3 linked regions of the Arabidopsis thaliana genome follow. The protein of the gene in region 3 interacts with the protein of the main gene of each other region in a pairwise test. Each region holds a gene or a part of one and is shown on either strand. Other genes may lie near its edges.

Evidence for each region.
Region 1: the proteins of ARF20 (region 3) and IAA5 interact in a two-hybrid assay, tested with the Arabidopsis thaliana proteins (2 studies listed by BioGRID).
Region 2: the proteins of ARF20 (region 3) and IAA33 interact in a two-hybrid assay, tested with the Arabidopsis thaliana proteins (2 studies listed by BioGRID).

Annotation. Positions count from the first base shown.
Region 1 is NC_003070.9:5,362,244-5,372,296, forward strand, and holds IAA5 (indole-3-acetic acid inducible 5), read right to left. Parts: upstream 4,255-10,053; 5' UTR 4,218-4,254; coding exon 3,872-4,217; intron 3,755-3,871; coding exon 3,670-3,754; intron 3,582-3,669; coding exon 3,521-3,581; 3' UTR 3,269-3,520; downstream 1-3,268. Other genes in the region: CYCA2;3 (CYCLIN A2;3), read left to right, coding at 791-1,006, 1,118-1,364, 1,461-1,597, 1,695-1,787, 1,876-2,009, 2,094-2,169, 2,242-2,352, 2,448-2,597 and 2 more; AT1G15590 (E3 ubiquitin-protein ligase), read left to right, coding at 5,131-5,516, 5,595-5,720, 5,962-5,989; AT1G15600 (uncharacterized protein), read left to right, coding at 6,680-7,035, 7,109-7,237, 7,341-7,518; AT1G15610 (uncharacterized protein), read left to right, coding at 8,550-8,941, 9,018-9,143, 9,223-9,436. UniProt on the Arabidopsis thaliana protein: Aux/IAA proteins are short-lived transcriptional factors that function as repressors of early auxin response genes at low auxin concentrations.
Region 2 is NC_003076.8:23,265,465-23,275,841, reverse strand, and holds IAA33 (indole-3-acetic acid inducible 33), read right to left. Parts: upstream 5,929-10,377; 5' UTR 5,819-5,928; coding exon 5,382-5,818; intron 4,962-5,381; coding exon 4,883-4,961; 3' UTR 4,750-4,882; downstream 1-4,749. Other genes in the region: AT5G57460 (muniscin carboxy-terminal mu-like domain protein), read right to left, coding at 1-521; XRCC3 (homolog of X-ray repair cross complementing 3 (XRCC3)), read left to right, coding at 920-1,834; GS1 (Haloacid dehalogenase-like hydrolase (HAD) superfamily protein), read left to right, coding at 2,942-3,020, 3,294-3,518, 3,628-3,688, 3,791-3,938, 4,039-4,118, 4,195-4,324; AT5G57410 (Afadin/alpha-actinin-binding protein), read left to right, coding at 8,201-8,233, 8,320-8,345, 8,432-8,543, 8,617-8,714, 8,887-8,983, 9,060-9,149, 9,245-9,307, 9,389-9,463 and 5 more. UniProt on the Arabidopsis thaliana protein: Aux/IAA proteins are short-lived transcriptional factors that function as repressors of early auxin response genes at low auxin concentrations.
Region 3 is NC_003070.9:12,922,816-12,935,284, forward strand, and holds ARF20 (auxin response factor 20), read right to left. Parts: upstream 7,709-12,469; coding exon 7,660-7,708; intron 7,583-7,659; coding exon 7,464-7,582; intron 7,299-7,463; coding exon 7,203-7,298; intron 7,105-7,202; coding exon 7,048-7,104; intron 6,953-7,047; coding exon 6,809-6,952; intron 6,730-6,808; coding exon 6,645-6,729; intron 6,554-6,644; coding exon 6,463-6,553; intron 6,387-6,462; coding exon 6,222-6,386; intron 6,116-6,221; coding exon 6,002-6,115; intron 5,913-6,001; coding exon 5,840-5,912; intron 5,748-5,839; coding exon 5,609-5,747; intron 5,463-5,608; coding exon 5,092-5,462; intron 5,007-5,091; coding exon 4,819-5,006; intron 4,730-4,818; coding exon 4,642-4,729; 3' UTR 4,488-4,641; downstream 1-4,487. Other genes in the region: AT1G35242 (uncharacterized protein), read left to right, coding at 8,429-8,581; AT1G35250 (Thioesterase superfamily protein), read right to left, coding at 10,231-10,350, 10,449-10,544, 10,629-10,738, 10,881-10,981, 11,511-11,650.

The sequences.
Region 1 (10,053 bases), 7.6 Mb from region 3:
TGAGCCGCCAAAGTTTTCAACTTTTTTTTTTGGGATTTATTGCAAATTTGTCGATGTTGAAAGGTTTTCTCAAGGAGAATGTGAAGAAAAAGGAAGAGAATGTGAGTTGATTTTAGGCATAGGGTTTTGTGGGTTCTTTCAGATTTATGTAGAATGGTGCAGCTCTGATTCATGGGTTTGCAAATGGTTTCTCACGATCTGTTCGTTTTCCCAAGGAAATGTAGCTGCTTTTTTTTTTTTTTTTGTCATCAGATTGAAATGTAGCTGCTTTTGAAGAGAAAAGTCTGATGCTTCTCTTCCGATTTTTTATGGATGGTATTTATAAAAGAAAGAAATAGTAGTTAGATTGTCGAATATTGGTTTTCCTAATCTTTTTTCTTCTCTAGATTTTATAAAATTGGAGTCTTTTTCTGCATTACTGTTTGCATTGTTCAATAAGGAAATCAAATAACTTTTGATTCTACCATTGAATCTTACGGAGTTTTGAAAAAAAGTTTGAAGCTTTGAACTTTAATGTATCTTCTATTGATACTTTTGTTGATCAGTGGAAAATTTTCAAGGAAAATCCTCTGTAAGACTCAATTGGTTCGATTATTAAGTCAAATTGGCCATCTTTTTTTCAGAACATTTTTATATGCATGGTTGCAGATTGCTATCTGCTCTGAATGTTGATCTCTCTATTGCCTTAACTAATGATCTTTGCGTTCTTTTGACAGATCAGAGGAAGATGATGCAATCCTAAGACTCTAAGACTTCTTCAAGGCTGTGTTTTATCGTGGGATTTTTAAACATGGGGAAGGAAAATGCTGTGTCTCGGCCATTCACTCGTTCCCTTGCCTCTGCTTTGCGCGCTTCAGAAGTGACTTCTACTACACAGAATCAACAGAGAGTAAACACAAAAAGACCAGCCTTGGAGGATACAAGAGCCACTGGACCCAACAAGAGGAAGAAGCGAGCGGTTCTAGGGGAGATCACAAATGTTAACTCCAATACAGCTATACTTGAGGTTGTTAAAACTATATTATGTTTCTTTATAGTGTTTGGTTTCCTGTGAATTTTTGTAAAGATCTTGTGAAGTAAAACATGCATCACTGAAACATGGGTTTTGCCATTTCAGGCCAAAAACAGCAAGCAGATAAAGAAAGGACGCGGTCATGGATTGGCGAGTACATCCCAGTTGGCAACTTCTGTTACTTCAGAAGTCACAGATCTTCAGTCCAGGACCGATGCAAAAGTTGAAGTTGCATCAAATACAGCAGGAAACCTTTCTGTTTCTAAAGGCACAGATAACACAGCTGATAACTGTATTGAGATATGGAATTCTAGATTGCCTCCAAGACCTCTTGGGAGATCAGCTTCTACAGGTGATCCATTTAACACAAGTTTTCATATGATTAGTTCCTATTGTATAAAGGAGTGGTCTTTAATGACTTATAAATCTTTTTTGCAAATGGTTACAGCTGAGAAAAGTGCTGTTATTGGTAGTTCAACTGTACCGGATATCCCAAAATTTGTAGACATCGATTCAGATGACAAGGATCCTTTACTGTGCTGCCTCTATGCCCCTGAAATCCACTACAATTTGCGTGTTTCAGAGGTAATTCCTAGGCTTTGATAGTCTCTAAAGAAACTTGGTGAGCCAAAGGACTGAAAGTTTTATTGCTTGTGCTTCTGTGTCACTTCTCTTCTGGCAGCTTAAACGCAGACCACTTCCGGACTTTATGGAGAGAATACAGAAGGATGTCACCCAGTCCATGCGGGGAATTCTGGTTGATTGGCTTGTGGAGGTTAGTGTTTAGTTCTACTTTTGATGCTAACTTTTGAAGCTACTATGACCTTTTCCGGGTTCTCACAAAAGTCTGATTTCAATCACAGGTCTCTGAAGAATACACACTTGCATCTGACACTCTCTACCTCACAGTGTATCTCATAGACTGGTTCCTCCATGGAAACTACGTGCAAAGACAGCAACTTCAACTGCTCGGCATCACTTGCATGCTAATTGCCTCGTATGTTCCTCTCCAATCTCACTAGTAAATCTCTTCTCAAAAGCTAAACTAAACTTATACTGCATTTGTTTATAAACTTTTCAGGAAGTATGAGGAAATCTCTGCTCCACGCATTGAGGAGTTTTGCTTCATTACGGATAACACCTACACAAGAGATCAGGTATACCGAGATTGCTGTCTGAATCCTCAAAAAAGAAAGTGTGCAATGTGCTAATGGAGTCGTGATGTGCAGGTCCTGGAAATGGAGAACCAAGTACTTAAGCATTTTAGCTTTCAAATATACACTCCCACTCCAAAAACGTTCCTTAGGAGATTTCTCAGAGCAGCTCAAGCCTCTCGCCTGGTATGCATTTCGCAATTTGCTCCCCTATCTCTTCTAATTACAAAGTTTAGTAGAAAGACTGAGAATGTGTCCATATTTGATTGCTGATTCGGCAGAGCCCAAGCCTTGAAGTCGAGTTTCTAGCCAGCTATCTAACAGAGTTGACATTAATAGACTACCATTTCTTAAAGTTTCTTCCTTCCGTTGTTGCTGCTTCAGCGGTTTTTCTCGCCAAGTGGACAATGGACCAATCAAACCACCCATGGGTCTGTGATGTTGCTTCTCTTTTGTATATCCAGACACAGTTTAGCTCCACAAAATCTTTGATCTTTAACATCTTTTTGATTTTTCCCCCGGCAGAATCCAACACTTGAGCATTACACAACGTACAAAGCATCGGATCTGAAAGCATCTGTTCATGCCTTACAAGATCTGCAGCTTAACACCAAAGGTTGCCCCTTGAGCGCTATACGCATGAAGTATAGGCAAGAGAAAGTAAGCTTATCAGTTAAAACCACATACTAAAACCTGTTTGGTATAACTTTAGTTTGGTTTCCTTGATTCTCATAAGACTTATTATGGATTTGCAGTACAAATCTGTGGCGGTTCTCACGTCTCCAAAGCTACTTGACACGCTATTCTGAAGGTTTCAACTCCTAACCGATAATAGTTTTGTCACATTGATGGTCCAATTTCGTTTTCATTCATCTGTTACTCTTTGTTCATAAAACAGAATTTCCACAGTCCCACTCATCTAATACCTGATTAGAATTCGGTTTAGCCTAGTTTGATCCGTGGTTTGGTTCTTCCAAACCCGGGAACATCTAATCGGTACCTAGAGTTTTTTTTATTGTAACGAGAATGTACATTTTTCTCCCATCTTGAGGCAATGTAAACAGATTCGGAATTTTCATATCAGTTTTCTGATATGAAGTAGGTTTAAGTATTTATATTTCAAATTTCATTGATTGTTGATATTGAACTGTCATGCAGTAGCTTATAAGAACCGCCTCTAGACTTTAGTCCAGTGACCAAAAGATAAAGATGAATGAACTATGTCAAAGAAAACAACTTCTACAGAAATTTCGGAAATCTTAGACTTCCGAAGAGAAATATTGAGTAACTGCAAAAATGTATATTTAGATATCTGTAAGGCTCACTCACATTCACATGTGACTATAAATATCATTCATCCTCTGTTACATGATCTCTTCATAATCCTTAACCTCTTGCACGATCCAAGGAACATTCTGCACACAAATAGTTTCATAATTTATTAGATATCAATTAAATAAAAGAAAGTAAATTTGAATGTTATAGAGGTCGCTAGAAACTTACTCCCAAGGAACATCTCCAGCAAGCATCCAATCTCCATCTTTGTCTTCATATATTGGTACACATTCACTTTCCTTCAACGTATCATCTTCATTTTCATATATAAAGATTATAAAGTTAATATCGATGTTTTGGATCATTAGTTGCCTTGATAAGTAAAGACTAAAACCAAAAATATATACTATATATAGAAACATAAACTAACCAAAATTGATATAGCATCCGAACAGAATTTGCAGAGCGGAAGCAAGATCTTGGTAACATTTGTACATTTCCAAATCAATCTTCCTTAAAAATGCAGCTCCATCTACACTCACTTTCACGTACGAACTTTTGGTCCGTTCGAGACTGTTCTTTCTCCGGTACGAACAAACCGGTGGCCAACCCACAACTTGACTCTTTTTCGCCGGTTCACATTTCAAATCAATCTCTACTTCCGGAGAAGCCCTCTTCTTCCCGGAGATGGACTCACCGGAGACGACGATATCTCCGGGAAGACCTAGCCGTAGTTCGGTGATTTCGAGTCCAAGATTATTACTCTCATTCGCCATCTTTGATGTTTTTGATTGAAAGTATTGGTGTTAATGTGTTTGAACTTTATTCTGTTGCCACTTTATATGTTCTCATGGGAACATAAACGATGGCGTTTGAGACAAGCTTGTTTAGCATTGATTTATCTTGTCGGCCCCATTCGAAGATCTTGTCGAAATTTTTATGTCATGTTTTTTCATTCCTTTGCCGCTTCGTGTTTAAATGTCGATAATATGGATCCGTTGGTTCGACACACTGGACGGCCACGATTTTGTTACCGACAAAGTAGGGTTTCTTTCTCAGCCGTTGGATCAGAAACACGTTACTTTCTATTAGACATCCCATGTTATGTGTGATTTGTTATGTCTGTATCCCATTCTTTTAATCAACGACATAATAATAAAACAACATATTCATGGTCGAATATATATTAGTGCACTTTAAAATCTACGTATATTTATGTTTCTCGACAACCGAACACGTGTTACTCAAGGCTAAGACAAGTTATTATATTATTTCATTTTTTTCTACACGTAACACACTACACAGTGCATACATAATTTCAAAGAAAAAAATGCATCTACGTTTTCGTCATATATCTTGTTTCTGCTATTCACACATGTGCCCGATACTTTCATTACATCATACGTAATCTACACATGTACACCATACTTTTGTCATTATTTGTTACGAAATAGAAACAGAACTGATCAAAATATCAATTACGGGATATATTTCCATTTTTCATAGATATTTCCATATCTTTGTATCTCCAATAGTACATTTTTGGAATGTTCACATGTTGATAGATAAGCTAGATTAGTCAAATTTCCTTGTACACAATTTCTAGTTTTCGATTGATCATGTAGAATTGCGTATAATATATTGTCGGCTGGCTTTAGCCAATGAATAACACAACAAGACTTTGTGATAATGGACAGCGAATCCCACAGTGATAATGATGATCACATAATCGACATTACAAACGATGAAGATTCTTCATCAAGATCGTCTTTGGACGAGAGAAGCTATCCTTCATTAAGTTCGTCTCTGTCTACGGATGACGAATCGTCAGATGAAGGTGCAAGTTCATCTACGAGAGACTGTGGTAGTCTTTGGAATATAATGGAATTAGTAGTCACTTTGGTTCAGATTGTTGCATCATTAATAGTTTTAACTCTGGCAAAAGATGAACATCAACAAGCACTTTTGTTAACATGGGTCATCGGTTACACTTGTGGCTGTATTACCATTACGCTCCTTATTCTCCTCTCGTGTGTCCGCAAATACAACCGAATTGGTGTTTACTCAAAAACGAGGTATAATAAACAACACTTGTTTCACTTAACATTAAGAGTTTAATTAGCTAAATCAAACCGAACCGTTGTTGGTGGCAGAACGGATAGGGTAATGGATGCTTTGAAGATGGGGAATGAATGTTTCTTTGTTGTGTGGTTAGTTATGGGGATTCTATGGATTTGTTATGGACACTCATCTTCTTCTGATACTCCTAAGCTCTACAGGTTTGACTCACAATCATGTCACAGTAGAGATTTAGTTAAACCCTAACTAATCAGTACTAACTTTTGTCTTCTTGATTATGTTTTGGCAGGTTATGTGTAGTCTTCATTGCTTTCAGTTGCATTAGATTTGCATATGCATTACTATTATGCGCAGGTATTTTTTTCGCTTAATGTTCACTAGAGTTTGGAACATTTTTTTCTCATATCTATGATGTGGATAAGTTGAAATCAAATGATGTAGATTCTGTAAGGGAAGGTATAGGAGGTAGATTTGTTTTCAAGAAACCGAGCCATGATGATGTGAGTAATAATTTCATATCACATTAATTACTCTGTTTTAAATAGCATTTTTTTGTTGTTGTTGTTGTTTAATTTTCATGGTTTGATGGTGTGTGCAGAGTTGTTGCATATGCTTGGGGAAATATGGAGAGGAAAAAGGAGTAGGACTAAGGAAACTTGAATGCTCACACGTATTTCATTCGCAATGTATAGACAAATGGCTGAAAATCAAATCCACATGCCCTCTCTGTCAATCACAAGTTAGGTGGTGATGAGATGAGGTTGATTTTTTTTTTATTTTTTTTTCGCTCAAGAGTAATTGTACACATTCAATAAACAAAAGTGGTGGGAAACTGAAAGATACGATCCTGTCTTCTTGTGTTGTCTGTCTTAAAACAGAAAATAAATATCATACAGATCATTTGACCTATTAACAATTTAACTTGTCCAAAACATCTGCAATATATATAAACATTGAAATCTCAGCTTTGATCTTCATTTTTCAAAATAATGTTTTATTTGTAACACGACTAATACGTACTTAGTATTGATCTGGTCTAAAAAAATACTAATAATTTTATCAACAAAGAAGGAAAGGTATATGCTTTGTGCTCGTCAACGCAAATTTGAATGAACTTTTCATTTGATCGGCAAGAAATAGGAAAAACCAAAAGTGATCAATGGAGGGCCCTTTGTTGAGCGAGTGTGAACACATCATTGACATTACAAGCGATGGTAGTTCTTCATCAATTGATGGTCAGCAACCACACGAGGGTGTTGAATTGGGTGATCCATACACAAATGAAAGCATTTGTAATTCAATCGAGTTTGTTGTGACTTTGGTCTTGATTGCTGCGGTCATAATCGTTCTGATTGAGCCAAGAGATGAAGAACATCCACAAACAATGTTGTCTATATGGATCATCGGTTATACATGTGGCTGTATTGCCACTCTCCCTATCCTATGTTGGCGTTTTTGGCTTTATAACCGAAGCGTTGGCTCCGAATCTACAGATGAATACTTAAGAGAGACAAGGTATATATAAATTGTGTTTTCTTTTATCTTTTTATGCATTAGATTGAGATATAATGGTTTTATTGGTTTGCAGAATCAACAAGGATATGGACTTTTTTATGACGGGTTTCTTCGTGGGTTGGTATGTGGTGTTTTTATGGATTCTTTCTTCCAAAGCATTCGACTCATCAGCTCTAGATGATACTACAACTCAATACTTCTGGTGCGTATCAAACGAAATTTCCAATCATATGTATACCTTAAAACGTATATATTGACCTTTCTTATACTCATGCCTTTGGCCTTCTTCATTGTCTCTTTTGCAGGTTATGTTTGGCTCTCCTTACTTTCAGTTGCATTAGATATGTTCTTTTTAATCTAACATTGGCAATGGTCTGTTATACTACTCCTTTGCTTTTACTTACGCCTGTGGTCATATGTGTTCTCCTTGCTGTGGAAGTCTTAAAAGGCATTGTAGCATGCATTGTATCATGCATCTGCTGAAATCGAACTAATAAAAATATTTTGTTTGTAAGCCTAGGAGAATGGGCGTTTAAAATCAAAGTAAAGCAGAGTACCAGAATAAAAATGTTTTGTGTTCATGTTGATGATTTTAATCTTATTAAGGTAGAGAAAAACAGTAGCTAAGGTTTTTTGAAATGATCAAATATGATCATCTCGTCTTATTTCCTCTTTTTATTTTATTTTTCTCCCTCGTTAATATTATTCTCCATTAAATGACAGTTTTGACTGACCATTCTTATTCGTGCGTTTTCGCTATTCAGATATGTATTTTAAGGGCCCGTACTTTAATGGGCTTTTTAAAATCTGACTTATTTCGAGTCGAGTCCTACCTCATTGTGACATTTACCCAAATAATCACGTGTTTCAGAATAACCTTTTATAGGCCTTATTATTTTGACAGATTTGGGTAAATCGAAATGGATATATAGATAACTTTAACACCAAAGATAAGATAACTAAGAAAAATAATAAAATATTATAGTTTCCCAAATAATAAAATTTAACACCAAAGATTTCTCCTTTTACAAAAAAGACATATTACTTCTTCTAGCTTCCCAAATAATACATCAAGCACCAAAGAATTAGGAAGACTATAATTTAGAACCAAATATTTTGAAATTTTACTCTAACGGGCTACAATTGACTAATAATTGGTCTTGGTGTAGGTAAAACAAAAACACACAAAACAAATGTAGCTCCGAAAGTCTACTCATTGTAAAGGACTTTATGTGATTGACTTAGAATTGGTATTGGTGTCGATTAGGTCTTAAGATAATAATATAGCTGGAAATGTCTATTATTCGTATTTAGAGAAGAATGACTAACTTTTTTTTTGTTCGTTAGAAGTTTACAATTGACTTATAGAATAGATCTTGACGTAGATTGGGTCTTAGAATAATAATTTAGCACCAAAGAATCGGAGAGGGCTTTATGTAATTTGTATTTCAACGCTTGTTTAGATGAACTATTAATTCGATTGGACAAAATAGAAGAAAGCAAAAAAGTGATCAATGGAGGGCCCTTTGTTAACCAAGAGTGAGCACAACGTCGAAGACGTTACAATCCATGGCGATTCTTCCTCAAATGATGAGCACATCATCGACATTACAATCAATGGCGGTTCGTCATCAGCTGATCATGAGCAAACTCCACATGAGGCATTTCAATGGAGTTGTCCATTTACAAGTGGAAGTTTCTGGATTTTGGTCGAGTTAGCTGTGACTTTGGTCCAGATTGTTGCAGCCATATTTTTTCTGATTCTAACAAAAGATGAACGAGATCCAGAACTAGATGTAGCTTTGTTTACATGGATCATCTTTTATACTTGTGCCTCTATTGCCACTTTGCCTTTTGTATGTTGCCGTTTATGGCAGTATATCCAAAACGCTAGCTCAGAGACAAGGTATAAACTGTGTTTCTTTTTCTTTTTCAGGCATTAGAGACTGATATCCTCAACAATGGTTTTTATTGATTTGCAGCAACGAGGTGATGGAGTACCGTTTGGAAAATTTTCTTGAATCTTTCTTCGTGTCCTTGATTGTGGTGTCTTTATGGCATATTCTAACCGAGTCATCATCACGTCAAGATACTAGTCGACACTTCTGGTGCGCATCTAACTAAATTTACAATTATGGCTAAACAACATAATTTACCTCTCTAGAACTAACAAATGTCCTTTTCCAGGTTATGGCTGGGTCTACTTGCTTTCAGTTGCATTCGATATGTGCTTCCTAATTTCCAATTTACCGTACAGTTATTCATGTTGCCTGGGGTGTCCCTTGTTACTGCACTTGTGGCCGCCATAGTAACGATGATTAATTCGTTACTCTCACTCTTTTTGGTCATCATTGGACTCTTTGCGTTAACCTTTTCGTGGATCATTGGAATGTGCGGATAAAAATGATGGATCATGTTGTTTTCTTCAACAATTGTTGTAATACTCTCTTTCTATTTATTAAATAAAGCCAAGTGTCATTAGCATTACCGAATCCTCTATTCCTGAAATGGCCGGCAAAACTGAAACTAAAGGCTTCTCTGTACCAATATCTCTGCAGCAAGATAAACATTTCAGTATCTGCATTTCAACATGTACAACTGGTTTGTCTATTGTAAAAGGCCTCTTTGGCCATCTTGATGAAGCGCTTCATGTTGAGACAGCATGTGGCACGCCCGACAATTCTTTTTAAGAGTGCACCCATAACATATATGTTCTTATGCTATCAAACAACCCACAAGGAACCTGAAGATGATAACTACTTGATAGAGATGATATGACTTCAATCAATCTCGATCGGGTTCGGTTAAGGGCACTAATAGATAACCTGCTATATGGGAGTGTGAAGACCATTAATTGGTTTTTCACATATATATGACTGAAGAAATCAGCCGTAACCAAATATTAGTGTTTTTGCATCAGTTGGGGCCTTGGGGGTCAATTATGGAGTGGAATAATACATGAAAACTTGAATGGTCGCATGCAGAGCAGAGGTAGCCTTTAAATTAAAGCACACATCA
Region 2 (10,377 bases), on a different chromosome or scaffold from region 3:
CCACGCAAAACAATATCAAGCGCCATATAAACCTCAGCATACTTCCGTCCAAGCTTCTCCGGAGTAACTTCAACTCCACGACAAGCAGTAACAATAACACTAACAGCTTGATTCACAATATGAATACACTCAAATACATTGATCGAATTATCATGATCCGCGACAGTAACACCAAGGATATAGATCGAGTTCACTAATCTATAAACTACACGATACTTGCTCTCAACACCAACAATAACCTGTCCATTAGAAGCAGCGAGTGGATCATCACCTACAAACTCCGCCGCCGTGGCATCGTCAGGATCCGCAACGGAGGAAGAAGAAGAAGAAGAAGAAGAAGCTTGATTCTGTTTCTGATTCGATTGTTGCTGATGCTGCTGCTTCGAGGACGCTAATGCTTGACGCATTTGACGAAAATACGAGAGAGCGATTAAGGCTCTTGCTGGTGGAAACCATTCTCTAGTTTGGAGCAAAATGTCGGATCCATTTGCTGGTTGCAGAGCTAGGGCTAAACACGACATGATCCCGATTCGAAATTGATCTCGAAGCTTCTACTAATGGTGACTATTCAATCTCAATGGTTAGATTGAAACATCTGATGAAGAAATCGATCAGATCTGAGAACTGAGAAGAATCGTCGGAGAAGAAAAGGAGAAAGAGAAATGAGATCTTCGTTGTTTCTTTCGAAAACGACGTCGTTTGTTTCATTACTCGTATCCTACCTGCATGGACCTAATGCGATGGTTTGAAAATAAGCCCAATAGTAGACGTTTATTCTTAACTTATTGGGCCTAATGTCAAGGTAAGAAGCCCAATAATATGATAAAACGATGTCGTTTAACGCGATTAGGTCTTTTTAAATTTTGTAGCGCTTATAACTTTTGCGATTTTTTTTTAATTGGTAGCTTTTGGCGGTGAAATGCAAAATGGGAAAATTAAGCCGGAGAATCTCCTCCGACGATCGCCGACGAATCGTAAACTAACCACAGGCTGTGAAATCCTCGACGGATGTCTTCGCGGCGGAATTTCCTGCGATTCTTTAACCGAAATCGTTGCGGAGAGTGGCTGCGGAAAGACACAGCTCTGCCTTCAGCTTTCGCTCTGTACCCAACTTCCGATTTCACACGGCGGACTCAACGGTTCTTCTCTTTATCTCCATTCAGAGTTCCCATTTCCGTTTCGTCGTCTCCATCAGCTCTCGCACACGTTTCATCAATCAAACCCTAGTATTTACGCGAATTACAATGATAATCCTTGTGATCATGTGTTTGTACAAAATGTCCATTCTGTAGACCACCTGTTCGACATAATGCCTAGGATAGATGGGTTTGTTGGGAATTCGAAAACTAGGTTTCCGTTGAAGTTGATTGTGCTTGATTCTGTAGCGGCATTGTTTAGATCGGAGTTTGATAATACTCCGTCTGATCTTAAGAAGAGATCTTCTTTGTTTTTCAAGATATCTGGGAAATTGAAGCAGTTGGCTAGCAAGTTTGATTTGGCTATTGTGATTACGAATCAGGTTACGGATTTGGTTGAAACTTCTGATGGGTTAAGTGGGCTGAGGATTGGGAATTTGAGGTATTTGTATTCGTCTGGAAGACGAGTTGTTCCTTCTTTAGGCTTGGCTTGGGCTAATTGTGTGAATTCCAGATTTTTTATTTCACGAAGTGATGGTAGTATTGTTAAAGATAGAAGTGAAAAGGACGAGAATTGTTCAAGTTCTGTGTCCAGAAGTGCTAAGAGACGGCTTGACATAGTGTTTTCACCTTATTTGCCTGGGAGTTCTTGCGAGTTCATGATCACACGAGAGGGGATTTGTGCGGTTCAAGCGTAGGTGAACTCGGGTGCTATGTAGGATAGTTTTTGTTCGAAGCATCACCGGATTTTTTGGAGTATTTGTTCATTAGCCATTATTTATGTACATTGCAGAAGGATCCGGAGATGGGTTGCAGCAAAGCCAGGTTTATTTTTTCGGATTCCTCCTCTTGGTTAGATGTGATATGTGCTTGTTTTTAGTTTATAAGCATTCTATGTTCAATTATTCATAATAAAGCTTTTTAAAAGATTCCTGTTAGCTCCTAAGTCTACTGCAAGCTTCTCACTTTGTTCTCTGATTCTCTTTTCTTTGCATCATTGAATTTGCACGAAGTCGAAAATTTCCCACTTGGTTGCTATCTTCAAATCGTTTCATTTGTTGAGTAAATTGCTGATGTGATCTTTATATCTGGCCGTAATATCTTTATGAATAGGTAGTGTTGATCATCCTGGTGGATATGGTTTTTGTATTTATTTTCACTTGAACTCTGTAGCTAATTTCTCGATTCTAACCAGAAAATGACTGAAACCACAAAATATGATGATGCATGCCTTCATAAGTGCCATAAGTAATTAATCTAGTTAACATACTTCATTGTCCTATTGGTAAGCAAATGGAGTTAAAACAGATTACTTGTAGCTAAAAGATCTTTAACACTTCGATTGTTTTCTATTTTTCCGTGGTTATTCAGTGGCAGAGGAATCAACTGCAGTTCGAGAGGATCAATTCAGCCTCTGATGTATACAAGAATGAGAGATTCCGCCTAAGGCTGTTGCTAAAAACAACCATTGAATCATCTGAAGGACACGACGGAGCTCTACAAGAGGAAAAATTTTTTGGCCGTTGTTGGTCTTTGGATTAACAAAAGCTCTGTATACGAATCTTCACTTTTATTTTGTATAGAAGAAGACTAAACATATTTAGTTCCAATGTATAAGTTTCAACATCTCTTATTAGCACTCTTCACTATGAGCAAAACTTCTACTCTCTATGTGAACCGGCCCATTTACAAGATACGGCCCATGAACCTTTTGTTATACGTCATAGTGACATCACTCTCCAGCGTAAAAACTAACTTCCGACTGAAACTGGATTCGGTTCGTCGTTATCGGTATCGAATCAACAATGTCGAATCCTGCAGCCGTCACCGCCGGCAGAGGATCAATCACTCACGTCATATTCGACATGGACGGTCTTCTTCTCGGTAATCTCCTTGCATCTGATCTTCAATCTCCAGCTTTATTAGATCGTACTACTGTCACTATCGTTGTTTAGATTTGATGGTTTTTTTAGTAGTGACTGTTTAGTTTCCAGGATTGATTTCATACAATTGATGTTAAGATGCTAAAGCAATTAGCTTGAATCTGATCGGAAATCGAGCGATTGAGTTTTTGTTCTGTGTATTCAAAATCTCACAACTTCATTGGCTTATCTGCTCTTGCTGCATACATTCATGCTGATTTGGTTTCTGTTGCAGATACTGAGAAGTTTTACACTGAGGTCCAAGAGATTATACTTGCTAGGTTCAATAAAAAGTTTGATTGGTCTCTCAAGGCTAAAATGATGGGTAGAAAAGCAATAGAAGCTGCCAGGATCTTTGTTGAAGAAAGCGGGATTAGCGACTCTCTTTCAGCTGAGGACTTTCTTGTCGAGAGAGAGTCAATGTTGCAAGACCTTTTCCCTACTAGTGAGCTCATGCCAGGTAGATTCTGCTTTTTGTAACACATGACATTTGGTTCACAGGAAGATTACATGTACGGATATTTATGTTTTTGATGTGGTCATGAACCAATTCTCTTCCACATTTTCAGGGGCTAGTAGACTCATTAAGCATCTCCATGTAAAGAATATTCCAATATGTATTGCTACCGGGTAATCTCTTCACCTCATCTCATAATATACCATTTAGTTTGCATTCTCATTGTCCTTTACAATCCAGAAACTGACTTGTTATGTTTGATTGTACGCTTGCAGTACTCACACACGGCATTATGATCTGAAAACCCAAAGACACAGAGAGCTTTTCTCATTGATGCATCACGTAGTTCGTGGTGATGATCCAGAGGTGAAGCAAGGAAAGCCTGCTCCTGACGGGTTTCTCGCTGCTGCTAGGAGATTTAAGGTAACTAACAGGCAACAGTCTCCAAGATTCTCCATTACTAACTAGTTCATATTTAAAATGAGTTGTAGACTAATGTTTCCTCTTCGTCTGGATTCCTTAGGACGGTCCTGTGGATTCACAAAAGGTTCTGGTGTTTGAAGATGCTCCATCTGGAGTTCTTGCTGCTAAAAACGCCGGAATGTAAGTGGGTTTCTCTTCATGTAAAAGCCAATAAAAACCGAGAAACAAGTTTATACATCTTGATGTCTATCTACAGGAACGTGGTTATGGTACCGGATCCTAGACTAGATATCTCTCACCAAGATGTTGCAGATCAAATCATAACCTCTCTAGTCGATTTTAAACCGGAAGAGTGGGGCTTGCCTCCATTCGAAGATTCGAACTAAACGATACAAACGTCTTCAAGGTAATGATAAAAACTCAAATCATGAAGCTTATTCTTTGTCTTGTTATATTGTTTTGGCATGTACATGACAAAGGCCATGAGGCTTTATGTCGTCAAGGGTTCTATGATTTTCTGGCTATTGAAGACATAAAAAGAAACTAAGTGGTGACATGACGAGAGACCAAACAAAAAAATTTGCCTCAACGTTTAAACAAATTATTTTTGTACAACTACTCTTACCCACAAGTTTCAACATTGGCTTATCTTATTTTGTTCTTGTCGGTATAGCTGAATTGATTCCTTCTTTATGGTTTGGAATCTCTCTTCTTTACGCATCACTAACATGTGTTGTTACTGCAACGTTTCATGTTTTACACTATAATTAAGAAAAATAGGTTATATTTAGTATTACAACTTTTTTTTTATTTTTCATTTCGTACGTGAACAAAGAAGCAAACACATCCAATGATGATTTTACAGTAATGCCATTAGGATTCAACCGACATCGGCTGTTACAAAACATCGTATGACATCGTTGCAAAAACGGTCTTTCTCCTCCTCACTCGTTTCTTTTAACTTGTCTTGTGTTTCCCTTGACCGGCAAGATTCGAATTCTCTTCGCTACACGAACAAAGTCCCTGTGTCAACAAGCAAATTTTCTCGTTAACGTCCAAGTATTAAAATATTGCCAGTTAAAGATCACGAAACCTTCAAAATCTAATTATACTAAACATTGAACGAAAACCGTAATTTTTAAGAAAGATATATAACGGTATCAAACAAAATAACTATAGCCAGCAAAATTGAGTATACAGAATAAGGATAGCAACAAAATATCATTTCACTAAATTATTGATATTTGTCTTTTTAGAAAAGCAGAGAACATGTGTTTTCTTGGCAGCTTGAAAAACTTGTGTTTGTAGTATTTTACCGTTAGGGGAAAAAAAATTAATATAGTTTTCCTATGTTTAAAATAAGGCTCGTTTTATATATAGTTTGTATATATATGGCCATCCTGACAATAATAAAGAAAATTAATGTTAGGGGAGGAAAATTACTTCCAAGTAAGATCTCCGGCAAGAAGGAGATCGTTCTCCATGTCTTCATAAGCAATAAGATGGCCAGGAATGGCGTTTGACAGATCAAGATCGTCCGTTGAATCAGCTCCATCGACAAACATTTGCCTTAGAGCCGAAGCCAAGCTCTGATAACTCCCATGCTTGTCTAGGCTTATGCGTTGACATATAGAACGTCCCTCTAGCACAACCGTAACCGGAGGAACCACCGATGAAACAAGATCGTCCTCTACGTTAAGCCCAAAGCCTTGGAATGATCTCCCGGCCGCTCCAGAGCTGGAGTTGCTATTATTATGGTTTTTGGAAGCCGGTTTGGGTATGAAAGGTGTCGTGGTGTCACGAGGTTGTTGTGTGGTGCTGTTGTCTTGATGAAACCTTCTTTGCAAAGAGTCTTGGCTTTGTGGCTCGAAACTATTCATATTGAGAGTAGGGTTTTAGGGCTTTTGTAACTTAGAGAAGACAACGGACGCTTACATGGAACTCAAAGTGTTTCGTGTTTTTTTGTTAAGCTAGAGAGAGACTGTGTGTTTGATGAGATTCTGGTGAAAGTGAATGTATGTACATATAAATAGATAGAGAAAGCGTAAATTGTGTGGCAAACAAAAAGGTGTCTTTTATTTTTCATTTTTCAATTTTCGTTTGGTTTAATGTTGTCTTAAATGTTTCATTTAATTTGAAAGTACATCTGCTCTTTGGATTTCTCGTTAGACAATGAATCCTCAATTAACAATCAATTTAATATTTAATTATTCAATGAACAATTGGATTCACGTAAAAATGTTCTCACATGCTTATGTATTAAATGTGTTTTTACAATTATTGTATTTTGCTAACTTATTCTACTATATATCTATCACTGCGACTGTGAGAGTAATAAGAGCTGTTACAGGAAATGTTCCAAGGTTTCACTAATTTTGACCATATATTACCAGCAAGGTATTAGGTATTTATGTATACAAGTATAAAGAAATTTTAAAATAAAAATGTTTGGAAATGTTTACGTGGACAAAAAGAAAGCTGATGGGAAAACATAAAAACAGTGAAAAAGAGTCAATATAATAAGAAATGTGAATTAGCTAGAAAACTCCAAATTAATTAAAGACATTATAAATTGGTGATTAATTAAATAATGAAAGAAGGTATCATAGAAAAAGAGATCTTGTAAATTGTAACGCATGGGCTGCGGAGACGACCGCGCTGCCGTCGCCGAACGCCTCGCTTCCTTGACTCGCGCCTGGTCGGGAGTTCCACGTCATTTTCTTTTCATACACTAATACACACATCAAGCATACATACGAAGAATATAAAAATTGTATTAACCGGTAAACACACGCATATATCCACACGACCACACATCAACGTCATATAGAATATACATGCATAGCCATTTATCCATGTAACATCACATACACACACATGAATACGTTTAACGTTTGATCTCATACTTCTCGGATTTAACTCGGTTTGACGAAAGTAAAACAAAGTATTAGACCTTGGTCCAAAATGTAGACATCACCCCTCTAATAATAATGAAAACTCATGTTATTTGGGAGGAGTTGTTTAGAGTGATTAGATCCAAGAAAATATGTGAACTTAATTAGAAATTTCTTAGATCAAAAAAGAGGGAAAAAAAGAAGAATTGCACTCTAAACTCATACAATATAATCCAAAGTCTTTTCGGTTATAGATTTTGGTGTACGGAACTTATCTGAAAATAAATAAATAACAAGTTTGTTCGAGCTACCTAAAATTAGTTGATTCCAATTCAAGTCATTTTAAAACATTATACACGATTTTAAAATCGCAAATAATTAAGTTGAGTGACCAAATGTATAGGTAAATCATGTATGAGTCAAATAACTGTGCCTAAAATTGTAATTTTATGCTAAAATGTTGATTTTCATATGGACTATTAAATGAAAAATTAACGGTGGATCCAACAAGCAATAGGTGAATAAGCTAAAGCAAACCCAAGAAGACATAAAACGAAGCACAAGAAGCATATTTTCTTAAGTTTGAAGCAAACAATAATTTACTCTATACATTTAAATTTCAACTCGGGATTCGAATTAGAAGACTCGAAGATCCGACATGGAGGCATGGAAATATTTAAAACTTACCTCGGTTTCATAGATCTCAATTTAGGACTATAGTTTAACACATTACTACGTCTACATGTTATATTTAATCATCTAATTAATTTGTCTCGATTTTTGTTTTTTTTCGATTCTACAGACATACGTTAATGTTTGCTTATTCCACTCCCCGATAATAATCAAAATTTAAATAACAATCAAACACTTACCCGCTGTTTTGGTCTGTTTCTAACCAAACAATGATAATCATTTTGTCATGCTCATCCAACATTAGCACAAGTCTAAACAGGCCTTACACATCAGCTCAATAAAGCCTTAATAGGCCCAATTAAAACAGTATGGGCCCACATTCTTCCTTCTCTTAAAGCCTAAACAGTTGGCGCGTCAAAATCACGTGGAGGAGCACTGAAGCCAGTAGGTGTCTCTTCACAGGATCATTTCCTTAAAGCTCATTATCACAAAAACAAATCCTTTTGATTATTATTACTGAAATAAAAAGCAAAGTGAAAAAGGTTTTAAAAACTTTTATTTTCGCTCTTCTCCAGAAACATTCCGTTTCAGATATTTTTGATTTTTGAATTTGTTTTCGCTCTCTCTCTCTCTCTGCTTAGATTAGATCTGTTCCTGTGAATTGATTCTCTGTTTCATCGTTTGCTCACGCCGCCGTTTTCGCCGGAGGTGGAAGCTCTCATCGCCGTTTCGAAAATGCCGGCGAATGATGCTGAATACGATCTCAAAGTAAGATTACTGTTTTCCGATTTGTTTTCCTCATCGAATTTCAATTTCAAGCTCCATTGACTGATTCTATGGTTTCTTCTTCACAGGTTTTATCTCAATCTGCGTCAGCAGGGTTAGTTTTCTTCTTAATCCCCCTAGGGTTTACTTTAAAATCTCCAATGAGTACTGATTGGAATTTTTGTTTTTTTGATTGAGAAGGGATTACACATTTGCGAATGAGGATAACTTGGAGCATTGTACGAAGTATTTGAATCAGACGATGGTTACATTTGGATTTCCCGCCTCGCTCGATCTCTTTTCGAATGATCCTGTAGGTTCTTATTATTGATGCTGAAATTGTTTGGATGTTTTGGGGTTTTAATTAGGGTTTTTGTTTGATTTAGGTTTCTATATCAAGGACCTGCAATTGTATGTACTCGTTGCTGCAGCAGCGACAACGTGATATAGAGTTTAGAGAATCTGCTAATGAGCTGAGACAGAGGTGAATTTTGTTTTTCTTCCTTCTTTCAATTTGCTTTGCATTGCATTGTGGTTAATTGAAATTGTTCTTTGAGGATTAGTATTGGTCTGGAGATTGTAGCAGTTTTATCTACTTTGATTTTGCGGAAGAATGTTTCCTTGTGGTTTATGTGCATTTCCCTTACTGTGTGTAGACAGCAATCGGATATAGCTAGACTTGAAGCTAAAGTTGAGAGGCTTGAAGCGCTACTCCAACAGAAGGACAGAGAAATTGCAACAATTACCAGAACCGTGAGTCCTATAAAGTTTCAGCTGAAATTGTTTTCGCTTAGGCTCTTGTTTGATTATGAATTCACTGTGTTGACAGGAAGCCAAAAACACTGCAGCTTTGAAGTCTCAGATTGAAAAGTTACAGCAGGAGAGGGATGAATTCCAAAGGATGGTGATTGGTAACCAGGTCTGATTGTGTTTGCTCTTGGATTAACTACTTTATCTTAGAGGAAATTGTACTGATGATGGATTCTCTGCATTTCTTCTTTTATTTCTGAATAGCAAGTGAAGGCTCAACAGATACACGAAATGAAGAAAAAGGAGAAGGATTACATTAAGTTGCAGGTTTTGTATCTTTTTCTCGTGAAACTAGCTTTTCTGCATCCTGTTTAATTCTGCATTTTGAACGCTTTGTTTCTCTTGTAGGAACGGCTGAATCAAGTGTTAATGGAGAAAAAGAAAGAATCAAGATCTGGAATGGAGATTATGAATTTGCTACAGGTTCTTTACCAGCTTCTTGGTTTTTTGCACTCAAGGGATTTTCTATTTGACTGATTATCTGATGTATATACTAGAAAGAAGGGAGGCAACGTGGTACCTGGAATGGCAAGAAGACTGATACCGACTTCTATAAAAAGATAGTAAGCATCTAACTACATATCAATAACGTTGTGCTGAGTTTCAAAAGGGCATTACTTACTAATTCCCTCCCTGCAGGTGGATGCGTACGAAGCGAAAAATCAAGAATTGATGGCTGAGAACACTAGTCTAAGAGCATTACTTCGATCCATGCAGGTACGCTCTATTTCCATACTAAGCTTAACGTAAGCAACTTAACATGGTTTATTCATAAGAAAAGTTTTTATCTTTGGTTTTGTTGCAGACAGATATGCGTGATTTCTTAAATGCTCCAAATGGGTCAGCTACATTGGCTGGAAGTGAGAAACGTGAGGCTGATCCTTCACAATCTCCACTGGGTGGGAAGACGGTATGCATAAGCTTAGATCACTGAATGGTTCTTCTTTATAATCTTATATAATGGATTGCCCCCGAATCTAACTAACTAGTCATTACACAGGACGTGTTTGATCTACCTTACCGGATGGCTAGAGGTCAAATAGAAGAAAGTTTGCGTACTAAGATGGCTTCCATAAAGGTTTTTTCTTAACAACATTTTGCATTTACAGAACAAAGTACATTTTGTATCCGTGGTTAACTTATTTTTGCTGTTTGGACATAAAAATAAAGGAAAGCATGGTCCAGTTACAAGATGCACCTAAAAGAGCATCTGTTACATCTGAAGCAACAGAGAGAGAGCTTGAACTCGAAGCTCAGCTTGTCGAGGCAAGAAGCATAATCCAAGAACAGGTCCTCTTTTCTCATTTTTCTTTACTAATGGCTCAGAGACTCTTTTC
Region 3 (12,469 bases):
ATGCTCATTCCTCACTAATATATGGTGCTCAAACTATAGTGATAAGATAATGGTTTATTACAGAACCAGAGAAAGAAACAAAATGTATAAAGAGAAATAACTTGTGAAATAAAAATAACTTGTGAAACTAAAGATTTGAGAAGTAGACTAATATAGGAAATTGTAAAGATAGTAACGTCAAGTTACAATAATAGATGTGCTAAGGTGTCGCCTCTTCGCCGTCTAAATGTTCTTCAGAATCAGATGAGATGATTTGTTTTTTGCGCACTTTTAGATATCGAGTGCTTCAAACTTTTTGAAACCTTGTTTTCTTTTTGTCCATTTTTTTGTCGTGGTATTCCAGACAAACCGAGTTGGGAATTGAACATATGTCATACTTTTGGCTTCTTCGTCACTTTGATTAATCTTCATCCACTCTGTAAACATTGTCCTGTCAACTCCATCTCGTGAAATGACACTGTCGAGACTTTGGTTTGCATCGAATATAAGAGGTTGTTGGTCAGGCAGGTGCAAAGAAAGGTGTTGAACGGCTGGTCTGCTATAGTGAATATCAAACGAAATATCCTCCACATTGCCTCACATGCTGAAATATATCGACATTCTTGAAATTTTTTAATCTCGTCAACATAGTTTGACTCGCCTTTTGTTTTTACCACCGACCCCGAGGCCCTCTCTACAACAATTGTAGCTTTGTCAACCCCTTTTTTTGATGTATTTAAATAAATACTTTCTCGTTTCGGTTGAACAGCACCATTCAACATTCATATGTGCCTTAAAATTGTAATTCCTTACATATGGCTTGTATTGATGTGATGGCATGTTGATTACTTGTTGTTCTTTGGTTTCAGAACCGGATGAAACTAGTAGTGGTTGACTTTTCTTAACTTGTTGGTAGGACACATCATTGGAAGGAATGTTTTTGTTGTATTTCCTGTCATTGGGAGACCATTAATGTTAAGAACCATTAATAAACACTAAAATTTGTTTTTAGTGGGGGTTTTGGAGAAACTGTACCTTTCTAAAATGCAAGTCAATATAATATTGAATGTTATCTTGGGAGGGTTTGTTTGGTCTTTGTTTTGGGATGTCCGACAAGACGAAATTTGACCAAGGTAAGAGGGAGTTGAATGGAAATCACATATAGGCAGAGTTAGAAGAAAGGGACGTTAACATAAGGGGAATAAGAGGAAAATATGTTACCTAGAAGCTCCTCGATCGCCCTTGTTTACCAATTCAAGCAACTTACATCCTAACATATTCGTAACCAATGGAGCAATGTCGCTCTTTAACACTGTCCAAAAACGTTTTGTCTGTGAAAACAATTTTACATTTGTGGTTGGTTCGACGATAACGGTTTGAGGAAGCAACAACATCGAAATCATTGATGCCGTACAAATTGCCTAGAACCATTTGATCTTGGAAGTTAGGCAGCCGATTAGGGAGGACAGAAGCTTCTATAGCACAATCGTGTGAGAAAATATAAAATTATGTGTAATAATGAATGTAAAAAATTGAAGAAGATGGAAAATAGTTAGGATTATTTACATTTTCGTCAAAAAGAAGACATTCAAGACTTAGTAAGCTATTGTTTCTTCTAAAGTCTCAAAATTCCCAACTATGGATGATCCGAACAACAATCTTATTGTTACCTGCGGTTAAATGATCGTCGTAGATTTAATCTAAGGTAGAGTAGGGAGCTAGTGCTTTAGTTTTAACCATTGTGAGAGAGAAGAGAGAGGTGGTGTGTGTCGTATATGTAGCTTTTGGAAAACAAATCTTTATAGAATATTTAAGGGAGATAATTTGGGGATTGTAATGAATTTTAAATTACCATAATTACGCAAACGTTTGCTAATAAGTTTTTGGATTTATGGTAATTTAAACTATGAAGGCGTTACATAGATTAAAATTTTGAAGTTTTTGGATTTATGGTAATTTAAAGTTGGTGGGAAGAAATCAGTCACCCAAAATTGAAATTGAAAGATTGAATTGAATTGATTAAAGTAATTGTGAACAATGATGAGATGCCTCACGTCCCCATTATCACTTAATTCAACGTAAACAAAGACATATGGTAAAAAAAATTTAAAAAATGACTAACCTTTTTAATCTAGATGGCGCCCAGAAGTCTCCTCTCGTTGATGTTTAGGAAGAAGAGAGATGCTTTAATTTTTTTAGGAATCTTCTTGGGGAGGAAGAAGATGTCGAGAGTTGGAGGAAGTAATGGGCAATATGGAGTATAGCAAATAGAATGGGCCTTTATGTTAGGTTAGTTAGATAGGCCCGGTTTTGTTTTTTTTTTGTGTTTTTTTTGTATTGAAAGTACAAAATTCACATAATGAGGACGCCAAATATCGTCTTTTTAGGAGAAGTTTAGGAAAACCTTCTCTTATTATATAAAATTACATAATCAATAAAATCGGTTAAAATTAAGTTAAAAAGAAATCTAGATCCAATTTTTCATCTTTCTTTTCATAGCCTTTTAATGGTAAGTTTCTTCCAAGAGGATTAGATTTGTTTGTGTAGCGATTATTTATATCGTTGACAATCTTGTCTAGTTTCAAAGTCACGATAACATAAATTTCAAAACAAACCATGAATCCTTCTATGATCGCCAAGTCATATTAAGGGCAATGTTCGTTTGATCATCTTGTATTTCCATCGAGAAAGTCCATTGCAATGTTCATCCAAATGCTCAATCAGAATGTTGTTTGTTTCAAATGTTGGATATTCATTTAGATACCGCATTTCAATGAGTTTATGTTTGTTAGCTTAATTCTTATAAATATTCACCTTCATCTAAACGAGTTTAATAAGAAAATGACTAAAAAAACCTTTACTTGGATCTAATCATTTTAAATTTTAATCTTACCTACATTAATTTAACTGTTACAATAAAATATATGCACAACTAAATATTCATTATTATTATTTTAACATATATAAACTAATTTTATGATTCTTGCGGGTTGACGGAAAATATAATTTTTTTGGTTATGGTGAGAAAAATAATTTTGTGATGTTGGAAGAAAAACATGATTTGCTGGAAATATTTTGTTCCATAATTCTACAATTGAACATTTTATTGGAAAGACATTTTCACAAGTTTCCATAAACAAAACTAGTGATTTCACATTTTTAATGGGAAAAACACAATTCTACGATTTTGTGATTTTGATGGAAAATGATAATCCGCGAATTCATGATTTTTAGAGTTCTTTTTTATGCAAAATGTGATTTTTAAAATAGAAAATGAGAACTCTCTATATAAAAAAAATTACATTATCTGATATGATCATAAATGATGTCATATTTGTCATTGGTTATTTTTGATTGAATCCTCTTCATCCAAATGCTCCAATTAAGTTCATCTAGAGGAGTAATGAGTTTGACAATTTGCCTAAATTAGAAAAATCCATTCAGATGATCTATGTGGATGTTGCTCATTTTTGTCACTAAACTAACATCATTTCTCATTTTCATATAGACGAACCTTCTGAGTAAACATACATGACCTAATTGAATATTCGGTTCCTCGTTGAAACAGGTTTATGAAGTAGACAACAAAATGCAAAATAGAATTCAAAATATCTTTTATTTTCTATCAATAATTTAAACTATAGATTGGTAAATCTTTTTTAAATGATCAAATTCTTAAATATCTTTTTTAGTTCTAACATCTCTTAATAAAATAAAACCATTAAAAAAAATACTTTCCTCAGCCGCAATGTTTAACTAGAAATTCTACATGAGAACAATAATTTACAAAACTACCTGAAATCAAATCCAAAGCAACATATGTTTGTACTCAAATGAGATTATAGACATAGCAATTTAGAATTGAAAATTGAATAGCTCATATGGAGCTTTATTGAAACGCAAGAAAGTAAAGTAAAGTAAAGAAAAACTTTTTAGATTTTCACCAAGATCTAATTGATTCTTGGATTGATTTCTTATTGAAAGAGAATTGGTCAAAAACGCAATTCTCTAGGTTAGTCGCATTGTTCTCTGTAAATTATTGTTATATAATAAATAGAACCAAGCAGCCAACATAGTAGTTAACTTTACTATGCTAGTTCATTGAATATACACTTAAAAATAAGGAAAAATGTCAAAACAAATCACAAATTTTTAAATTTGGGACGATTTAATCTACAACTTCACGGAAGACAAATAAATCGTAAAGTTTTTGTTGACTTTCTAAATAAATGACACAGTTTTTGTTGACTTGCCACTTGAGTCATGTCGTTAAATAGGTTAACAGATTTTTTTACGATGTTAATGTCTCGTTTATTTGCTCTGTTAAAACAAAACAACATCGTTTATTGTACGTCGTTTTGTCTGTTGAAACAAATTAAAGCCTAAATTCCCAAATCGTGTTACACAAATTTCTTTTCAAAATATCATAAAATAAATATTACACTCAAATTTTTAGAATGTAGATGTGATATGTAGATTGTATAAATTAGAAAGAAAGCTCAATATCACGACAACAAGAGGATTTTATTTCATTTATGGACGATGGAAACAAAAGTGCATAATACAAATGCATGCAACAACAAATAAGAGAAAAATAAAAATAGAACGAGACACCGATAACATTTTTGACCCCTTTTTATTACATATTTTTTTATTCTTAATTCAACTTGAGAGACTCTTACTGGACTTTAGGTTTTTGACCTCCTCTTTTGAATATATCAATATCTTCTTCACCATTTTGCAGAATTCACTACATGCAAACAACACAAAAATGAAATATCAATGTCTCTCAAGATTTTAACTAATCTTTTAATCAATAGAAATAGAAAGGAAACTCACGGCCATGGATCGTCTCCAACAAGCATCTCATACCCGTCACTATCTGTGAAAGCTATTTTCCATTGGTTGCGAGTTTGTAGTTGGCCTTTGAGATCAAAGAGCTTCTCCAATTCTAGTATTAGCTGATCATATCCATTAAGAACACTTAAATCCACAGCTCTTCCTATTGTTACACCTTGCATTTGAACCTGTTCCATATCAAGATTGCATGAGTTGAGTACAATGAGAAAAAGTTTCATATATAAGGAATAAGAATATTGATCTTATACTTACTTTGGTACAAGTTCTAGTAGAACCAAACTGCTTGCTTTGGATCTCTATTGGTGATCTCAAAGTTTGGCTTTGACCAAACTTTTTTCCTTCAGTAAGTTTCGAAATATCCGAGCCAATTTCTTCAATGGGATCTTTGATCACTAGAGGAATGGCTAGAGAGACTCCAAACAGCCTAAAATTAGTGACTGCCTTGGTTGTTATATTTTCTTCTATTTGTGTAACCATTTGGTTATTGTAATTTAGTTTGGGCATTGGTTGGACAGGGTAGCTCATTAGCAATCTAGAAGGATTCATAGCATCTTCAGTTGTATCACGATAACGAAGAGAAGTATTCATCGGGGAGGCGACGCTTAGTTGTCCAATTTCTTGTCCTTGTGTCAATATAGGAGGCAAGATATGTGATGATGAAGAACATGTATATAAAACAAGAATATTGAGAAGGTATTCAAGAGTCTCAAATTCATTAAATAGAAGATTAATCCTTTAAATAAAAGATTATAAGAGTGTATTTTTATACCGAATTCATTAACTTCTCGTAAACGCTTGTTCTTGAGCAAAGATGATCGCGGAACATTTAACGCAGACATTAAATGTTCGATCTCCCAGGGTGACACTTTATTAGGTCTCGAAAATGATGCAAATTCATCCCACTGAACCTGCAAAATTAAAGTTAATTAGTGATATGTTATTTATTGCACTCAAAAACGTATTCCTAAAAGAATGTTATAAAGTGTGAATGAAATTTTACTTCTAAGCTGCGCCACTCTGAACACTTCCAATGAGGAGAGAAATCATTAACTCCAATAATTGTCCCAAAATATCTTAATCAATTGAACAAAATGTGTTATCATTGATAATATTAAACATTATAAATATATTTATGCAGAAATTTTTTTTCATCTAATGTTACCTTCTTTCAGAGAAATCATCACCCTCAAACCGCATTGTAAATCTTGAACCGACAATGAACTTATTGTTCATAGCGTCTAAGAATTTGTCGTAACTGACAATAAATTGACTTGACCTGATACTTAGAAAGACACAAAATATAAACCTATATGTTGAAGGAACTAATCTATTGATAAATCAATATAATCTAAAATGTGAGTTCAAATGGTTCTTTGAATTACCTTGGCTTGTAAACCACAATGAATATACATTGGTTATCAAGAGCATGCTTTGCGGAAGCAATTACCCCATGTCTCATACAATCTATTGATACTATTGATGAAGGTATATTCCCTTGTTGATGTCTTGCTCGTCTGATACCAACTCGTAACTCTCCAGTCTCTCCCCTAAAACCACAAGTAAATAGTTTAAAAGTCCAAAACTCCAAAACCAAAAGATATATAACAAGAATCAATATTATACCTAACGAATACAATAACATCTCCTTTAACCAACTTTTTCGATGTTGTGAATTCATTCCAACCAGTTGTTAACGAATGTCTTTGCGGTGTACCTGCATGGAATAAGAAGATTATTAGTTACTTCTCTAGGATTTATTACCTCAATAGCTGTGTTTGAATGATTTGAATAAAATGAATTATTACCTCTATAGCTGTGTCTGAATCTCCATTGATTACCATGGAGATCTTTAGCAAGAAGTTCTTGTGCCGGTAGAGGCTGAGACATATCCTAAACCAAAATTTAATATGTAATGTCTAATGAAATCTTAAAATTCAAATTCATTTAAAAAAATTATAACATTAAATACCAGTGGAGGGAGACATTCAATGGCATGTTTTTTCGGAACAAAGAATCCACCATAAGCGCTTGTATCAGAGGCCGTTAAAACCTTCGTAAAGGAATTAACTAATGGCCTAAATTGATTTTCACTCTGAGTAGGGATTACAACTTGCTAAGGATTTAACAAAATCAGAAAATCAATGAGATATAATAGGAGAAAAATACAATTGACTGAAAATAAAAGAGAAATACTAAATTTTCACTTACAGTTGTATCTGGCATCAAAGTGATCTCAGCATAAGTCTCATCACTATTGTTTTCCACCTAAAATCAAACATCAAACAATTAACCAATTACTTCTTTTTACAATGAAATCAAATATAGATATCATGCGTATTTGCTAAAACATAATAGAGATATACCTTAAGATGAATTGCAATAACACGGCATTGAAGCTTAGAAGGAAGATCACAAATTGGTTGTAACTCATTCAACTCTTCTCTTGTAGATGCATCAACCTGAAAAGGCCGTCAAAAGGTTTCATACACAAGAGAGAGATAGAGAGAAAGAAGAGAGAGAGAAGAAAGGGAGATAGAAAGAAGAAAGAGAGAGAGAAGAGAGAAAGAGAAGAGAGAGAGAAGAGAGGGAGAGAGAGAGAGAGAGAGAAGAGAGGGAGAACTCACAAGCTCTATATTGCCTTGAGGAAAGTAATAAACATTTTCTCCAAGTTTTGGAATATCACACAAAGGTCCCGCACAGAGTTTCCATAACTGCTCGTACATATAGCTCTTGGATCCATCAACTGCCGAACAAAAACCAAAAAATTATAACCAAAACAAGTTTTCAATAAGAGAAAATAAAAAAGTTAAAATTTCTTACTTATGCCTGATAATTCAGGTTGTGCATTCACAACGTTGCCAGTTTCCATAACCTCGTATCCAAATATCGGTATACCAAAATATGTTATCTCAACAATTATTATAAAACTTTCTCCCTTTCCTCAACTTCTCTCGCGACCATGATAGCACAAAATATCACATTTATAGGTAAGAACTATCAAAATACATTAAAATACTTCCTTAGATTTGAATACTAAATTTAATAAGGTTACCAAAAATTAATAAAGGTAATTTAGAGAAATGTCATTAATATTTTGACTACACATAAGAAAATCAATTTTCTTATATGTTTATTGATTAAGTTACCAAAATCAACATATGCATTATTCATATATAAGTTGAGTAATATAATACATTTTTAATACTTACAATGAAAAAAAATCTTTGAATTTTGTTTATAGATAGCCATATAAATTTAAATAGGAGTTCTTGCTAGCTTTTTCTTTTCAACATATGCATTACTCATATATAAGTTGAGTGATATAGGAAAATTTTAGTACTTACAACAAAATATTTTTTTCTATGAAATTTGTTTAAAAGTAGCCATATAAATTTTAAATATGAGTTTTTGCTTGATTCTGATTGCATTAATAGGAATTCTCTAGCATTATGATCAAACCTTTCATATGGGATCTATGGTACATCTCATGTTAGGTTATTTTTTTTTTGCTTCCTCTTTAAGTTTTTAAGGATCCCATATAAACCGGCTTTCTCATATATTGTCGCTCTTTGGAGAAATTTCCAAGGGCATGTTCTCTTTTCCATTTAGCTTCCCCTTTCCATTTAACTATGATGTGAATTTGCATGTATCCGATGCCTATTGGGATGTCTTTGGTATCAGGGGTAGATCACCGGTGGTGGTGATGGTTTGGCCTTACAAGGGGATGTGGCTTATAGTATGATGAATTCCATCAAAAATGTACAAGGGCTTCTCGCTGCCTCTCAACCTAAATGTCAGTTAAGCATTTTTGCTCTATGTTTTATATTGATAATTATAATAGTTATTAATTATTATTAATGATAATTATTTAGCTTATAGAATTTTTTTTTATCATCTATAGAGAAATTATTAATTGAATAAACTTATTTAATTCATTAATTCAATAATTTAAATGACTAATTGTTTTATCCAAACCATTTGCTAAATGAATTAGATTGACTCATTATCCATTAGAATCTAAATTTATATAAATATAGATTGGTTTGATTTGGTTTAACCAACTTGACATCCGTAAATATAACACCCACAAAAAAAAAAAAATTATAACACATTAGTCAGACAACATAAAAAAAACTTATAACTCATCTTCTTCTTATAACTCATCTTCTTCTTATAACTCATCATCTTCTTCTTCTTCTTTTGTTGAAGAGTAAATTCACCAAGAGAGCCGACATGGAGATAGAGAAGATGATTGTTGGGTCTGCGGTTTGTGATAGATGGAGATTTAGGGTTTAAATTTGTTTTAACACACAAAACGACGTCGTTTTGTCCTTGCAATAAACGACGTCGTTTTGTCTCTGTAATAAATGACGTCGTTTTGTCTCTGTAATAAACGACGTCGTTTTGTCTCTACAATAAACGACGTCGTTTTGTCTCTACAATAAATGACGTCGTCATAAAAAATAAAATTGTTAACCTATTTAACGACATTACTCAAATGGCAAGTCAACAAAAACTTTATTTATTATTTAGGAAGTCATAAAAAACTTTACGATTTATTTATTTCAGTGAAGTTGAAGATTAAATCGTCCCAAATTTAAAAGTTTATAAAATTTTTAATATTTTTGCCCTTAAAAACACTTTAACATTTTTTCTGAAGATATACAAATATATATGGCGCCAAGTCATAGTATTATTGACTATAGAAACCCACACGATTATAAGACGAAATATAAATTTAATGGATAAATTGGATGTACAAAGAGATATATAACATAATATGAATAAAAGAAAGAAAAGAGAACGAGTTTCACAACATGTACAAAAATCATAAGAATGTCACAGGAGTGGACATAGAGCGGATATCATGAATTTGTGTGATTTTTGATTAGTTTCCTCTGTTCGATCGGCCATTTGTTTTTATCCATACCCGTTCTGTAACGACTTATGTCAAAAGATAGATATTCTGACCGATATTGATTACTTCAGATTTTGTTTTTTTCACCAGTTACGTGATAAGATTTTTAAAATAATTAATATATAGCAAATTTCAAAATTCAACAAACAAAAAGCACTATTGATATATTTTAGGATTAATGTGATGAATACAAATTCATAAAAATTTAAACCTAGATATAATAAACTATACAGTTTAAATATATATAATTATATGTATACATATATCATCACATATATCTTGCTCTTCAGATTTTAGTACTATGATTTGCCTCATTTTAATAGGTATTAAGTTTGAATCTTTGTCCAAAAAAAAAATTTGAATCTATGTTTTGGTCTGTAAAATTATGGATATTTATATTTTCTGCATCAAATCGAAATTGTAACAAACCAAAATATATAGGTCATAAATTTTGTGATGCCCTAGAATGTGGATCAATCGACCAAGTGTTGACACTGGAAGTGACCAAAATATGAGCGTACATGAGATGGGACACGAGTAGGCCGGTACTTGTTGTCAAGCCACACAGCCGTTCCTTTTGCCTCCAAAATAGGCTGCTTTGTCAATTATATACCAAAAGGATCCTAATTAATCAAAACTATACACAAGCAGAAAACCAACACAAAAGGCTTGATGGAGCAACTAAATATACCTCTTGATTTGGAAGTTTAAAGATGAACTGTTCAAAGTAAATGCGCACCAAAGATATCCCCGATATCCTCGTTTTCACCACAAACCTACATCCACTCTGCTCGAAGATATCAACATAAATACAAACATTAACTCTATAAAAGAGAACAAATATTCTTGGAAAAGAGAGTAAGAATATTACACGTAAAGGTGCAAGGAACTTTATTGTTAACTCAGGAATTGCCAAGGCTCCACCAGAACGGGATACTTCATTACAGTTGATACCGATACTATCCATAAACTCGTGTCGACCTTTGTATATATGAAAATAAGTTTAACAAACCATTTTTTGTAAGAATGTGACATAGCACTAACGTAAGTACACGTCTCGACTTCAATCGAGGGTTTATAATAATTTGAGACCGCACAAAATTTATAACTAAAGAAAACTAACCGTGTTGGCAGTAGTTTGCGTAAACAGCATTGTTCACAACACCAAACTGATCCAATTCATAATCACGAACTTTAAGTTCAATCTCATGGAACCCACCAATTCTGCCATATAGAGATTTTAATAAGATAATAAAGCAACATAATTACATTCACTCCTCTTGGCCACTATATATAAGAAACGTAGTCATTACACACAAAAACAAAATCATAAATATAAAACTCCAATATATATGTAACAAGAAATAGTAGTTGCAAACATATATTTCTCTTTTTTTTTTTTTTTTACAAACTCGCTAAAAAAAATGATAATCGTAGGTCATAAAAGGAAGTACATTTATATGGCCGTGAGAAGGTAAATGTGTGAATAATTTAGCTAGTTAGTTACCCTTGGCCTTAGTTTATAATTTTAAAAACTATTCAGTCATCACCTTAATATGCTACAACTGAACCAAAGTTACAATTAAGAAATCTCCTCTCAATTTCTTGGACTCTCAAATTTCTTAGGAAAAGGGCATTGTTTTTAGAACTAAGGCACGTGATAGTTGCCTTAGTAGCAACTAGCAAGAATACCCCTCGATGAAATAAGATTAGCTCTTATGAATTTAAATGAGGGAGGTATATGTATGTGTACCCTGTGCTTCCTCTGAGTTCGAGACATGCGAGGGGCTTGAAGATTTTTGCACTCCGGAGAGGCAGGACATGCCCTCGCCTCCAAGAACGGGGAAACGCCGCATGCATAATCTGAGCCCCCGTGCTGGTAGCTTGAAACATTGCTCTTCTTAGATGTGATGAGTAGTACGTTGACTACTTTTTGTTCGGTTTGTGAAAATAGTTTCAATCACTATATAGGTATTCTAATATTTAGGAAAATGTTTTCAATCACCTAATAGGTATTATAATATTCAGGACAATGTTTTCTATATAGATACTTCTCCATCCTATATATATACAAAACTAAGCACTCTTCTGATCCCATGTTGCCATCTCAGCCAAAAATTGACATATCATTTATATACATAAATTTAATTTCAACCTCTTTGATGCTGACATCTCATCATCCACATACCACATCTGTTTTCCATTAGAGTGCGATGATTAAAGCTCTAATTCACATACTAATTAAACATTTATATATAGTATGGTATAACATATTACATAAGTTGCCCGGGAAGGTGTCTTTATATATAATAGAAAATGTGAAATGTATAGATCTGAGGATAAAAATATTATTTGACATCATAAATGTTGTAAAAATAGAAAAGTAGAGGTAAATGTGGTAGAAATGAAAGGCATCTATCAAAATATGACATTGTTGTTAATTTTCCTAAAAACAATCGTGGTTAAAATGGTTGAAGCAGGTGTAACTACTCATACTAATTAAACAATCATATATTATGATAAATATTTCAAAAGAAGCTGATTAGTGATTGATGGGTCGGAGTAGACGACTTCACGTTGTCTAATTACCTTTCAAATAAACATCTTTTGATTGGGGGGCTTGGGGCCACTCACCATACCCCTTATTTTTATTTTACATTCAGTACTTTGTATTTTTTTATTGAATAATTTTTAGGTTATGAACCGAGTATT